Rattus norvegicus: one gene and its partners. The protein of the gene in region 3 purifies or fractionates together with the protein of the main gene of each other region. This does not show direct contact. Links are inferred from orthologs where the notes say so. Each region holds a gene or a part of one and is shown on either strand. Other genes may lie near its edges.

What was found.
Region 1: the proteins of Ints11 (region 3) and Ppp2r1a purify together in Homo sapiens (affinity purification with mass spectrometry; 3 studies listed by BioGRID and IntAct, with this or other methods). This does not show direct contact. The link is inferred for Rattus norvegicus from reciprocal best matches to the Homo sapiens genes INTS11 and PPP2R1A.
Region 2: the proteins of Ints11 (region 3) and Ints6 purify together in Homo sapiens (affinity purification with mass spectrometry; 3 studies listed by BioGRID, with this or other methods). This does not show direct contact. The link is inferred for Rattus norvegicus from reciprocal best matches to the Homo sapiens genes INTS11 and INTS6.

What each region holds. Positions count from the first base shown.
Region 1 is NC_086019.1:69,211,796-69,216,091, reverse strand, and holds the start of Ppp2r1a (serine/threonine-protein phosphatase 2A 65 kDa regulatory subunit A alpha isoform), read right to left. Parts: upstream 2,895-4,296; 5' UTR 2,894-2,894; coding exon 2,816-2,893; intron 1-2,815. UniProt on the Homo sapiens protein: The PR65 subunit of protein phosphatase 2A serves as a scaffolding molecule to coordinate the assembly of the catalytic subunit and a variable regulatory B subunit.
Region 2 is NC_086033.1:41,112,015-41,115,660, forward strand, and holds part of Ints6 (integrator complex subunit 6), read right to left. Parts: intron 2,071-3,646; coding exon 1,708-2,070; intron 960-1,707; coding exon 866-959; intron 1-865. UniProt on the Homo sapiens protein: Component of the integrator complex, a multiprotein complex that terminates RNA polymerase II (Pol II) transcription in the promoter-proximal region of genes.
Region 3 is NC_086023.1:171,760,108-171,764,314, forward strand, and holds the start of Ints11 (integrator complex subunit 11), read left to right. Parts: upstream 1-1,297; 5' UTR 1,298-1,404; coding exon 1,405-1,435; intron 1,436-1,453; exon of another isoform or gene 1,454-1,622; intron 1,623-3,552; coding exon 3,553-3,650; intron 3,651-4,101; coding exon 4,102-4,175; intron 4,176-4,207.

The DNA of each region.
Region 1 (4,296 bases), on a different chromosome or scaffold from region 3:
ACTAACATGGCTTTTATTCCTGCAAAGTTTTATTTAGTAAAGCTACTGGCATGGTTTTTACTCCAGCAAAACCTTACTTGCAAAAGCTGGCTGTAGATGGATATGGTACTACGGCTATATTTTGATGACTTGTAAACTAGTTTTTCAACATCCTTGCCTCAATTTTTTTTTTTTTTAACATGCTTGTGCTCCTCTCCTAGCTGCACTGTGGGAAATAATGGGCCAGGGTGACAACTGGTGAGTAGTAAGCAGCAGCCCTAAGGACAGTAGATGGTATCAGGGAGAAACTACCATCCCATTCATAATCTTCATGCCAGTCATAGTAGCATGTATCATCTACAGATTGTTCCCCGTATGCTCGGGTTGGTTATTCCCACAAGGCTCTGAGGTCTTCTAGAAAAACAATATTAACAGGTGAGGATGCTGCTGGAAAACTGTCCATTTGTGGACAGTTCTCTCACTCTAGTTTTGATTTTGTTCACAACGTGCATTGTTTTCTTCAGGAAGATGGCACTCTGAATGTTTGAGTAAAGTGGCAGAAAGCTGCGTAGCCCTATTGCCTATTTCAAGGCTATGCTGTCATGAGGTCACCTTCACCCAGCAAGATCTCTGACAGACTTCTGATCTCTGGAAACACATAATAAAACTTTATGTTGTTTTATATTTACTTTATAGTGACTTGTTACAGAATTCTGACAAAACTGGCCAGCTGACCTAGCTAAACAAGTTCCTTATTGTCTCTGGGTGAACATTTCATCCAACAGCTTCCTTCAACCTTAGCACTAAAAAAAATTTTTTTTTTTAAAAGAGGGACTTTTTTTGTTTCCTATGAAGGATGTCTTATATACTGCAATCATGTTTAACAGCATTCATGACTTCAACCTACTAAAAGCAGTAACAATCTCCAGCTGTGACAACCAAACCATCCCCTAGACATTACTAAACATCCTTGGAGGCAAAAAACTATAACTATAGCCATTGCATACATTCACACACACACACACACACACACACACACACACACACACACACAGAGAGAGAGAGAGACATACCCTCCTTCTGGAATTATCTTCTCCAAATTTTTAAACTTTCCATCCTGAAAGGAGCTTCCCTTGACTGGCTTAATTCCTTACTCATCTGTCTAGTATACACACTCTACCCAGAACCTAATGGCTCCTTCCAAAAGCAGGTACTATTTCAAATTTCTACAAGACTTTCCCATGCTTACTTTAATATTGTACCCTATATTTCTTATTTTCTTCTTAATATTTTCCATAGTCAACATAATACCTATTTATCTGTCACTACTCACTAAAATCCCTTAAGGCAAGTTTTGTCCTTTTGCTCCCAGCTGTCAACATCTAGAGACACTCTGATGTCCAACAAACATTTGCTGATTCACTATTTCAACATTGACAGATCTGGTTTCTTACATGTGGTAATATGCAGATTTAGTTCTGTTTGCCTGTTTCACACCTAGCCTTTGTATAGCAACCAGCCTTTTTCTTTGTTGATACAGTGTCACTATGTAGACTAGGCTAGCCTTGACACTGCTTTTGCCTCCAGAGTGCTGTGATTGCTAGCATGCACCACTATACCAGGTTCTGGTCTCCTTTATGACCCCAACAACATCCCTCATCCTTTGCATGTGTTTACAGAGCACACACACATAAATTCATACAGTATGCTCAAAACCAGATTATTCTCACTTAATAGAAGAGAAATACAGACTGCCTGAATCAATTAGCAAAAAGTGCAAGACCCAGGAGTACAAATCCAGCCTGGCTGATAATGGAACCAGAGTCAGACATAAATACATAAAACTTAGATAGGCCAGGCTCAGGAAATTGACCAAGTGCAGCATGAACAATTCTATATAAAAGGAAAAGTAGAAGGCCGTAGTGCCACAATAGCCACACCCCCAAAATAATAGCTAACATTTATAGAGCCTTTACAAACAGCCAGTTTTATTTTACTACTTTTCCTCAGCCACCCAGGGAAGCCAGGGCTATTATTAGCTGGTATTTGTAGAAAACAGAAGCCAGGGGGGATGAAATAATGTGCACACAAGGTCATCCTCAGGTGAAAGGATGCGGCCTTGAGGTCTGACCTCTTTTTCAAAACCAAAGCAAACTCAGGGGTCCTGGCTCATTTTTTTCCCGTGAACCAGAACTATCAACTCGCTTGGCAGACAGGCCTGGGACAAAGTTGGAGAACAGGTGGGTGTGTACACGTGACCTATCCCAGATAAGGCTAGGTTAAATCTCTGGAGAGCATACTTTCACAGTCTCCTTCCTCCTTCAGGAGAGATACCACAAAATGCAAGGCGGAGGTCCGTGAAGAACGGATAGAAGTCCCAGTTATCAATCCCCACTCGTTCCAGTTAAAATAAACAAAAACACTAAAAGCGATGGTAACTCCACCCAGGTCGCCAGGACCCCTGAGGGCTTCCCCTACTCAGCAGGTCACGCGCCCCCGCCGATTCCCTACAGAGAGCCATTCTGTGTCGGCCGCCAATCACCGACTGGAAGGCGGCAGCAAGACCGCCACCCAATCTCGGGCCGCCCAGGCCCAGATCCGGGGCTGCCGCGCGCACTCAGGTGGGACCCTCGAGGCTTGCCCTCCGCTTGGCTGGGCACCCAATGAAGGCTGCCATCTCATCGAACCTTGCCATCAAGAAAGATGAGACCTGAATTCTGATTGGCCGCCGCTGCTTTCCGCCACTCCCGGAGAACCCTGAGCCATCGCTCCCACATTCCGCGAAGATCCCCGTCCCCGATCTCCCCCACACACTCTAACGGAAGGATCCCCGCACCTGAACGTCCTCATTGCGCAGTTCATCTATGAGCACCGCAATGGGGTAGAGCGAATCGTCGCCGTCGGCAGCTGCCATCTTGACTCCCTGGCGTTTCTATCAGGCAGCAGCGAGCTCCGGGCGGAATCCGGGCTCGGGAGGGGCGGTGCGGGGAAAGGACGCAAAGCGGACGTGGGGGCGCCCGAGCCGCGCTACAGGGGCTGTCCCGCCGCCATTGCCGCACAAGCTCGCGTCTGTTTGGTCTGAACCAACCAAGTCCCGCCTACTTCTCATTCACCATTGGCCGGATGAATCAGATGTTTTTCCGAAGGACGAGCGGAAGCGGAAGTTAAGTATCTTAGTGACCAGAATTGTGCCCGCCTGCGTCGCTGCTGGCAACCACGGGAACAAGCAGGTCTAGCTGCCAATGAGAGTCGAGAATGGGAGGTGGCGATGATGATCTCTTGGGGAGACTCGAAGACTCAAACCCGAGCCTTGGGAACTGTGCGTGACGTAATGAAGAACAGGCTGGTCTGGTTGTGCTTCTGCGGCTGTTATATCGGTCTCTAAAGAAGGAACTCCTAAGTAGGGAGATTTGCCTTGCTCAGTTTCTAGAACGCGGCCCTGGGGCTGGTGGCGTTCAAGGGCTGGTGGTGTTAAAGGCTTTGTTAAAGTCCCCTCTTACCCTGAAGAAATAGAGCAGCCAAGGCGACCTCTTACTTTATCCTGCTGGGGAGTTTCTAGGTAGCTAGTAAGAAATGAGCCAGGTCGAAAGTATTTGAGGATGGACCCCTGCCGCATAATGAGCTTGGACGCCAAACCTCTTATATGGCTAATATAAAAGTATCACAATCCTTTTTCCTTAAGAATGAAAATACGAAAACGTAGCAGGGTTGTTAAAGCGTGACTGCTTTTATTCTTGATTTTTGTTTTCTTCTTTTTCGATCTCCCTTCATCTTCCTCCTTCCCCTTACCTGCATTCCTCCCTTACTTCCTCTTCCTCTCCAATCAGAGAGAAAATTAAGAAGGAAACACCCTCACAGAGAGTGGAAACAAAGAAAAAAACACCCACTGTCACAGAGAGTGGGCATTCGTAATCAGTGATACATATTTGAGTATCATGTATCCCTGGCCCTGAATGGCAAACACATGGTCTTGTGATAAAGAACAAAAGGCTTAACCATGTGTGAAAGTGCACATGCTTTCAATTCTGAAACTCAGGAAGCAAAAACTTGTTCTACATAGTTATACCCAGGCCAGTCAGAGCTATATGGTGTAACCCTCAGAAGAGAGCCATACCATTGCCCCATCCCATTAGAGTTAATCCAAATGGTCTGTCTGTTCTCGAAACTTCAGTTTATACTCTACCTCAATATGGGTTTGGCACAGTGGTACCATTGTTCATTCTTTGTGAGTGTACTTTCTTTGTAATCTCTCTGTCCATTCTTCATTTTCTTCTATTACTGTACTTTATGTGTTTCATCTGAAATCAATCAACAGTA
Region 2 (3,646 bases), on a different chromosome or scaffold from region 3:
GTCCTTTCTGTCTAAAGCAGTGGTTCTCAACCTTCCTAATGATGCAATCCTTTAATACAGTTCCTTATGTTGTCGTAACCCCCAACCATAAAACTGTTTTCATTGCTATCCTAACTGTAGCTTTGCTACTGTTATAACAGTCTTGGGCAACTGCTACCAAAGGGCTGTTCTACATAACCCCAAAACGGTCATGACCTAGAGGCTGAGAACTGCTGATCTAAAGCCTTCATGGGTAGCAAGGAAAAGACAGAGAAACAGTTAGTGGGTGGCTATGTTTACACTCAGATGATCATATAAGCAATACGTTTTGTCATAATATTAAAACTTAAGTCCTGAAAGAAAAAAATGTAATTATCTGAAAGGTTATACAACTATGCTTACCAATTCATTGTCTTCATTGCTACATTTTACAATACTGAATCAGTTCACACAGCGAGGCACATAATACTGGGATATTGAACCAACCCCTTTGATTACTTATCTTCTCATGTAAAAATTGACTGCATTCAACTATTACTTTTTCAGGTTATTTCTAATCACTCAATCATTATCAATGTAGAAAAGTGAAAGAAATTAAAGATTTACAGCATCACTAAAAAGCAATGGAGAAGAAAAAAAAAATCAAGAATTTAAAAGAATATAATAATTTACCAGGGAAAAGGTCCATAATTTCTCAAGGACTTATGCGCCTATTTCGGCAAACAACTTTAAATTAGCTTAAAAGAGGAAAAATAGAAGAAAAAAGTTCCACACATTTCAATGAATCAAATGCATGTAAGTATATACCCAACTGCCTTAACAAACAATCACATATGCAAACCAAAAATTATTTCATTATTATTTATCAACAAGCAAGTTTCTTTACCTGGATGCTTCCTTAATGACATTTTGTAAAAATATTAGCCTTGTTTGTAAACTGCCTTGCACATGCTTCAGTAAAGTGAAGATTCTTTCATATTCTTAAAAAAAAAGAGAAGGAAAAACAATTAACTGGCTATATAGAAAAATATTTTACATAAAAATATTACCACTCTTCAAAGCTTTCACAGACCACTGTTAACATCTATGTGCATGAAAGTATGTATCGCCAAAAATAAAAGCTTCCAAGCACTTGGTTTTTCTGTTGTTTTGTTTTTTGCTGAAGGCCCTTCCACTTTCTTACTAGCACAGCCGTGTCCGCTATATTCTGAATGGATGCCAATACTACTCACAATTCTTGTAACCAAGACAGTTCCCTTGCACTCTTGTGACAGCCTTAATGACTCTGGTTTGGGCCTAAGCACATGATCTAGGTTAGTGTCATAATTCATTCATGGTGACAGGGAGTAGAGAGGAACGTTACACACACACACAGGACATTGTTGAGAACTGAATTTGGGCTATAAAGGTATCTCCCTATCTGTTTGGGTCAGCCATTATAAAATTTCAATTCCTAGTTAGAACAGTCAGATTCTGGGTCCCTGTCACATGCATACATGCATACATCACTACATACACGCGCTGCATCTACGGAGTCTTTAGACAGGCATCCTGCTGTCTACCGCCCATACTGGAGTACCTCGAGTACCAAGGTTATTTTAGTGCTTTCCAGCTGAATATGAAATTAAACCTTAATGAATAACCTAGAATAATATGTATGCTTTTACTGAATTTGACTTGTTTTTGCCTAACTGAAGACAAAGTAACAAGTGTTGTCTCTATACATACTTCTTCCTGGTTTTCGGATCTCTTTCATTATTTGTGCTTTTAGTTCAGTGTTGACCTCTTCATGGCTTCTACAATGCATCAATTTCTTTCCTTTGTTGAGTGAAGATGCTGGTATATTCTCTTCAGCACTTTGTTCTTTACTTCTTGACTCCTCATGATTTTCTAAAAATCCACCAACAGTGAGGTCATTGTTTCCTAAATGTTCATGACCAAGGGCCTCTGTATGATTAGTTGATGGTTCCAAAAGATTGGCTGGAGAGGTTAAAAATTCAGTATCCATAGCATTTGTTGTCATGTCTGATGAAAGTTGGTCGGCAACATGATTTTCAACCACATCGTCTACTACTGAATCATTAGTGGCTTCTGAAATGAAACCAAAGAAATGGAACAAAAAGTGAGCTCTGGTATTAAAGTATAGAATAGAAATGCTAAAGAAACACAATTACTACAAATAACTAAAATTTAAACTTAAGACATTTATAACAGAGCCAATTTTAGCCTGTTTTTCTGCCTTATTTTAGCAATGTTATTAAACAAGTTTTCAGTACATACACCACTAAAATTGTCATTGTTATTTTTTGCTTAAGAGTCCTACCTACCTCATCTTAAGCCTACTTCTGTCTTTAGAAACCTGTTACTCTTTAGAGAAAAGTAAATGCTGAATGGTGTTTATTGCTCAAGATTCTGCAAAGAACACCAAATAGTGCACATTTCGGAACACACTGTCTTCTATCTATCCTTTCAGCCCATAGCCATGCAAAGTAATCTGGTGCTCACTTCAGCTCATTAGACTGGTAGACCCAAAAGTTTACTAGCTTGCCAATAAATATAAGATTCTTAGACATGACTCCTAAGTAAGACTTGTTCACCAGCCTCCAGAGCACCAGCTAAAGCCCTCGGGTTCTGTATCTCAATGTTTCTACTACCTGGTTTCTACTTCTCCCATCTCCCTCCATCATACTTTCTAAATTCTACCTACCCCATGGTTTGTAAACATTTCTTTACTGATAATTCTCCACAACTGTTTCTTAGCCTTTGTCTAAGGTTAAAGCTAAAAATCACAATAAGTTCTGCTTTAATGAAAAGCAAGCTCTCCTATTTAAAAAATAAAACAAACCACTGCCCTTCTTTTCAAACATGGAGTACAAATTGCTTCTTCATGAGTGTAAAAGTGAGACAGTTACTGATTCTTCCACCTCTTAAATGTAATTTTAAAATCTCTCATATTTAATTCTTAAAAAAAAAAAAGGTCTCATGCACTTTCGAGCAACCCTGTCACTTACCCAATCCCTTCATCACCATCTTCATCCTGAGATCAGTGCACATGCATCTGCCACCTCCTTCACTGTACACTCATTCTTAAGCCCCTCCTGATATTCTAGGGGATTCTTACAACTCAATGTGGAGTCAGCCTCAGGAGAGCCTCTCCAATGCTTCCTTTGTGTCCCAGTCTTGATTTGCATGATAACAAATTTAACAAGGACTCCAGGTAATCCTCAGCATGCTCCAGTGTGACTAAGTTCTATAGCACCAATGTCTATGCAAGTGTCATCTACCAAATATCTGACCTCAAAGAACTTCCTACTCCCACTTCACCTTCCGCACCTACAACCCAGGAGACGCAGGGGCATCCTTTCGCAATATTCCAGCTCCCTGTCTTTAATAGAGATGAACATTTACTCTATAACTCCTCTACTTTTTTCTAATAATAAAGCTCTTGTAATACATACACTTTCTTCTTTATGAGGCTTAATCCCATGCTAGGTCACTTTTACCAAAGTTCCAATGATATAGTTCTAACACCCCACACTATGGTATCTATCAAGTAAAACACCAGACTTAATGGCCAGTTTACACTGTCTGTTAGCCGTAGGCATTTAATTGGAGTGATGATAAGCGCTGGAAAAATAGGAGCCAGATCTACCACTGTAGTCTCAAT
Region 3 (4,207 bases):
ATGCTGGGATTAAAGGTGTGTGCCACCATGTCAGACTAGGCCTTTTACTTTCAATCTTCCTGCTTTCTGAGTAGCTAGAACTACAAGCTTGTGCCACCAGGTTCCTTTTGTGCTCAAATATTGAATGGATATACCTTTCCTGCTATCTTAACAGCCTTGCCTTGGTGTCCAGGAACAACCCTGTGGGATGTAGCTGCATTACATTTATGTCCGACACTTACTACCAGTTCTGGAGATTCTTGTGTCCCTTAGTACTGGATCCCTGACCTAACCCTCTGTACCACCAGGCCTTCAAAAACCCATCCCTATCCAGTGTGCAACATCTGTGTGCAAGTTTTTTCTTTCCTTCACACAGTCCTATGCCTCAGTCCTTCAGCTCTGGGTATGTGGTCTGCATGCCCTCCCGGTCCATGGAGTGGTGATAGAGTCCCATAGGTTGCACTGGGTGCCCATTGCAAGTTCCAGACTTAGGAGATGGGCTCACCTTGTACTTAGGTGTCAGTGACAGCCCTGCCTGGGCCTCAGAAAGATGGCGACGCCCAGAAACTTGTGATACACCCTTCTCTCAGGGCCTGTTGGCTGTCCAGTGGGTAAATCGTCTCTATGCTGCCCCCCACCCCGCGCCAGTTCATTTCTGGCCACCTAACAATCCCGCAGCCAGGCTTTCCTGCCCAGAGCCTGAGCCAGAAGCCAAGTAGCTTCTTAGAATGGTCAGTGGAAACCCGGAAAGAACAGGAAGGGAGGGCAGCTCCCCAGCTCCCGGAAGGTGATGCAGAACACCTCTAAACAGGATGGACAGCCGGCCGAAGGCCCACAAGCTGGCACACAGCACATACACCTAGGCGTAGCAGTGAGCCAGGGTGGTGCAAAGAAGTCTGCAAATCTCACCTGAGACGGGTTCCGGTGGGGGGTGAGTGGTGGTTCTTTACTCCCGCGGAGGGCAAAGGGTGCAGGGAAGGTCAGTGATGGGGGGGGTTGATCAAAGCTATAATTAGGCTGCTGTGGGTGACGAATCTTTGCCCTCCGTTCCGGTGGTCTACAGAGGCATGGCTCTGCTGCCTAGTTCACTGTCAGGTAAGAGCTCCCATCCCTATGCTTTCCCCCAAGCTCGCAGCCTGCGGTTGGGAAGAAACCTTGAGCTGCCACCTAAAGCCCAGCCTCTGCCCCGCCCTTTGCTGCCACGCCATCCCAATTGGTTGCTGATCATCCAATTAGAACTCGACATATCGGCCTGCGTTTCCGGCGCGAGGACCGGAAGGGGGCGTCTTGGCGGTTGCGCCTGCGCGCGGTTGTAGGAGTCGCGGTGGCTGGGTGTCAGGTTTGATTGCGCGCGAGGTCTAAGGCTTTCCTGCGGGCGGTGCGCGCGAGCTGTGGAAACGTGGTTTGAGACTGCCTGCCTCCTCGATGATGCCTGAAATTAGGGTCACTCCCTTGGGTGAGTCCGAGTCCTAAGCATCTTCTGCGGCGTCCGGCGAGTCCCTTCATCTCCATAGCCGTCTATCAGCTGTTCATCCCAAGGAGCGGAAGCCGGAGTAGAACGTTTCGGAGCTAGTGCTTCCTTTTCTCTGCCTGGCACGGGGATCGAAGAGCTTTGGGTTTGATTCCTGGTCCTAGAGCTCGATGTGAGTTATGGAGGCCCAGCTTCTCTACCTCGGCTGCTTAAGGTGGTTGTGAGGTGAAATGAATCTTGGACAGGTGTCACCTGTCACTGGTGTTGAATCCAGCACAGAGCTCGTCCTGTATTTGGACTGCTGTTTCAAGACCCCTCTGTATGGGCTTCTTTCTCATTTCTGCCCACCCCACCTCCCACTTCTCCCAGTGCTTCTCATGTTCAGGTTGCTTGCTGTCACCCCTCAGATCAGACTTTGTGTCTGGTCTATCCTGAATTTTTAAAATCATCATAGAGCATATAAATCTAGACGTCTAAAAGCCCCAATAGCATAGTATGGTTGTGAAGGAGAAAACAACCGTTTGAAATCTGGGATTTCAGAACTTCCCAAATGACCCTGCATTTTCCTTCCTACACGTGTGCAGGGTGTTGGAAGCACCTTCTTATTCATATGACCTGGGTCTCTGGGTTATCTTGGCTAGAACTGAGACTCTTCTCAACTCACTGAATCACAGGGCCTTAGCAGAAGCAAGTTCTGACTACCTCCACCATCTAGTCTAAACACTAATTAGCTTACGATATCAAGCACATTCATTGATCTGGCTCCCCAACGCCTGCCCCCACTGGGAAAGTTTTGTTTTCTGCCACAGTTCTGAACTTTTGGGCACAGTTATTCAATCTCCATGTAATGCACTCAGTGTCTAATTGTCTCGTCCCCCTACGGTGAATTCTGCTCCATGCAGAAATGTAGCATCCTTTGCTTTCTTGTCAGTTTTGTTTTCTCTTCGTCATTTTTCCCCTGGAGTTGTAAGTCTCTTTGGGAAGAACATTTGCTAGTGCCCAAGAACTGGGCTTTGTAATTCAAAAATGTACACTTTGGCACCATTCTTGGTAGTCCTGTGGTTATGGGTGCCTGTGATGTGAGGTAACCCTTGTAAAGGCGCAGCCATTCCCTGTCTATAAATGCTTTAAGGGCCTCAGGTCCTAGCACAGCTTCAGGGCTAAAGGTACCATGGGGAAGGATACTAAAAGCTTTCTCTCTGGGAGCACACATCTTGAGGATATAGGAGCAGGCCCGCAGAAGACTCTGAGGCCGACGGCTACTCCACCTCATTGTGGCTGGCTTCATAAGGAAAGCAGACTGGGCCATGGCTGGTCACCATGATGTTTGTGTACTGAAGACAGTGGTTGGTGCCTGCAGTGGGCAGGTGGAAACTATAGGATCCATGATGGCAACAAGGCTGTGTTGTTTTCAGACTGCTGTTGAGGCTTGGGCTGTGTCTCTCCTTCTGGATCCAGATCCCAGGAGAGATAACAGATACTAAATGGGGGAGATAGCTGTCTCCCGTGTGGTCAGTATCTTGGGCTGAACAGCTGGGGTGTCTGCTTCATCATCCCGAGCATGGAAGGAGCCCCCATTGAGGCTGAGCTAGGGGTTCAGTGATATGGGGTCTGTGCTGCCCACTGACCAAAGTGGGCTATCTGCGTTGCAGTTATTGGTCAGTCATGTTTCTTTATGGCTGGCCTAAGGCTACATGATTGTGGCACCGTTCAACACTAGAACTCAGGAGCCAGGCCTCAGCCTCTTCAGAAGAAATCTCAGGGGAGGGAACCTCACTGGCTTGCAGCCCCAGTAGATGGTCAGGAGTAATTTGTCTAAGGCCTGGGGAAACAGCAGTGGTGTTCTACAGTGCACTGGCCTGTTTCTGTTCAGTGTGTTGGGAACCACAGCCAGTTGGAGATGTGCGGTAAAAGCCTGGTGAGGGGAGGGCATGTGGCCCTAGCACAGCACCTTGTCTCCCCGTGGTGCATTCCCCTAACCTGCATGTGAAGGCAGTAAGTGGGTGGTGTAGGTCAGCCCTAGCAGTAGTGAGGGAAGGAAACTTGGGGAAAAGAGGGAGGAGCTGAGGCCTTGTTTCTCACTTGCCCTTCTCTTTGTGTAGGGGCTGGCCAGGATGTAGGCCGCAGCTGTATCTTAGTCTCCATTTCGGGCAAGAATGTCATGTTGGACTGTGGGATGCACATGGGCTACAATGATGACGTGAGTACTGCGGATGGGTGGTCCAGAGGGCAGCGATAGTCCATCGATAGTCATGTTCTTTCTGTCCAGCCACGTGAATCCTGTGGTCTTAGGGGCTAAACGAGGCAGTAGGAGCATGCCTGGACAGCTATACCCATGCAGAGTGGGGATGTGTGGCCTTGAACACAGCACTTAAAAATTAGGGTCCAGCTGAGATAGGCCTCTTAAGGATTCTTGAGGCTGGTCATGATTAGACCCTTTGGGCTTAGGTAATTGCTCAGTAGTTTGTGAGGCCAGCTAGTCACTTGGCCTTTCCGTGAGGTTATAAACAGGCAGTGGCCTAGGTGACGCTCACCAATGTAGGGGTTCTCTGACCCTTTGCTGGGGTCACTCCCTGGGGTGCACCAGTCTCACTTTCAGAAGACCCTGGGTAGCCTGAGGCATTCCAACTTTTCTCTTGTCTCCTCCTCAGAGGCGCTTTCCTGACTTTTCTTACATCACCCAGAGTGGCCGTCTGACTGACTTTCTGGACTGTGTAATCATCAGGTAGGTTTGCTGTGGTTTTGATGGTCCTTCCT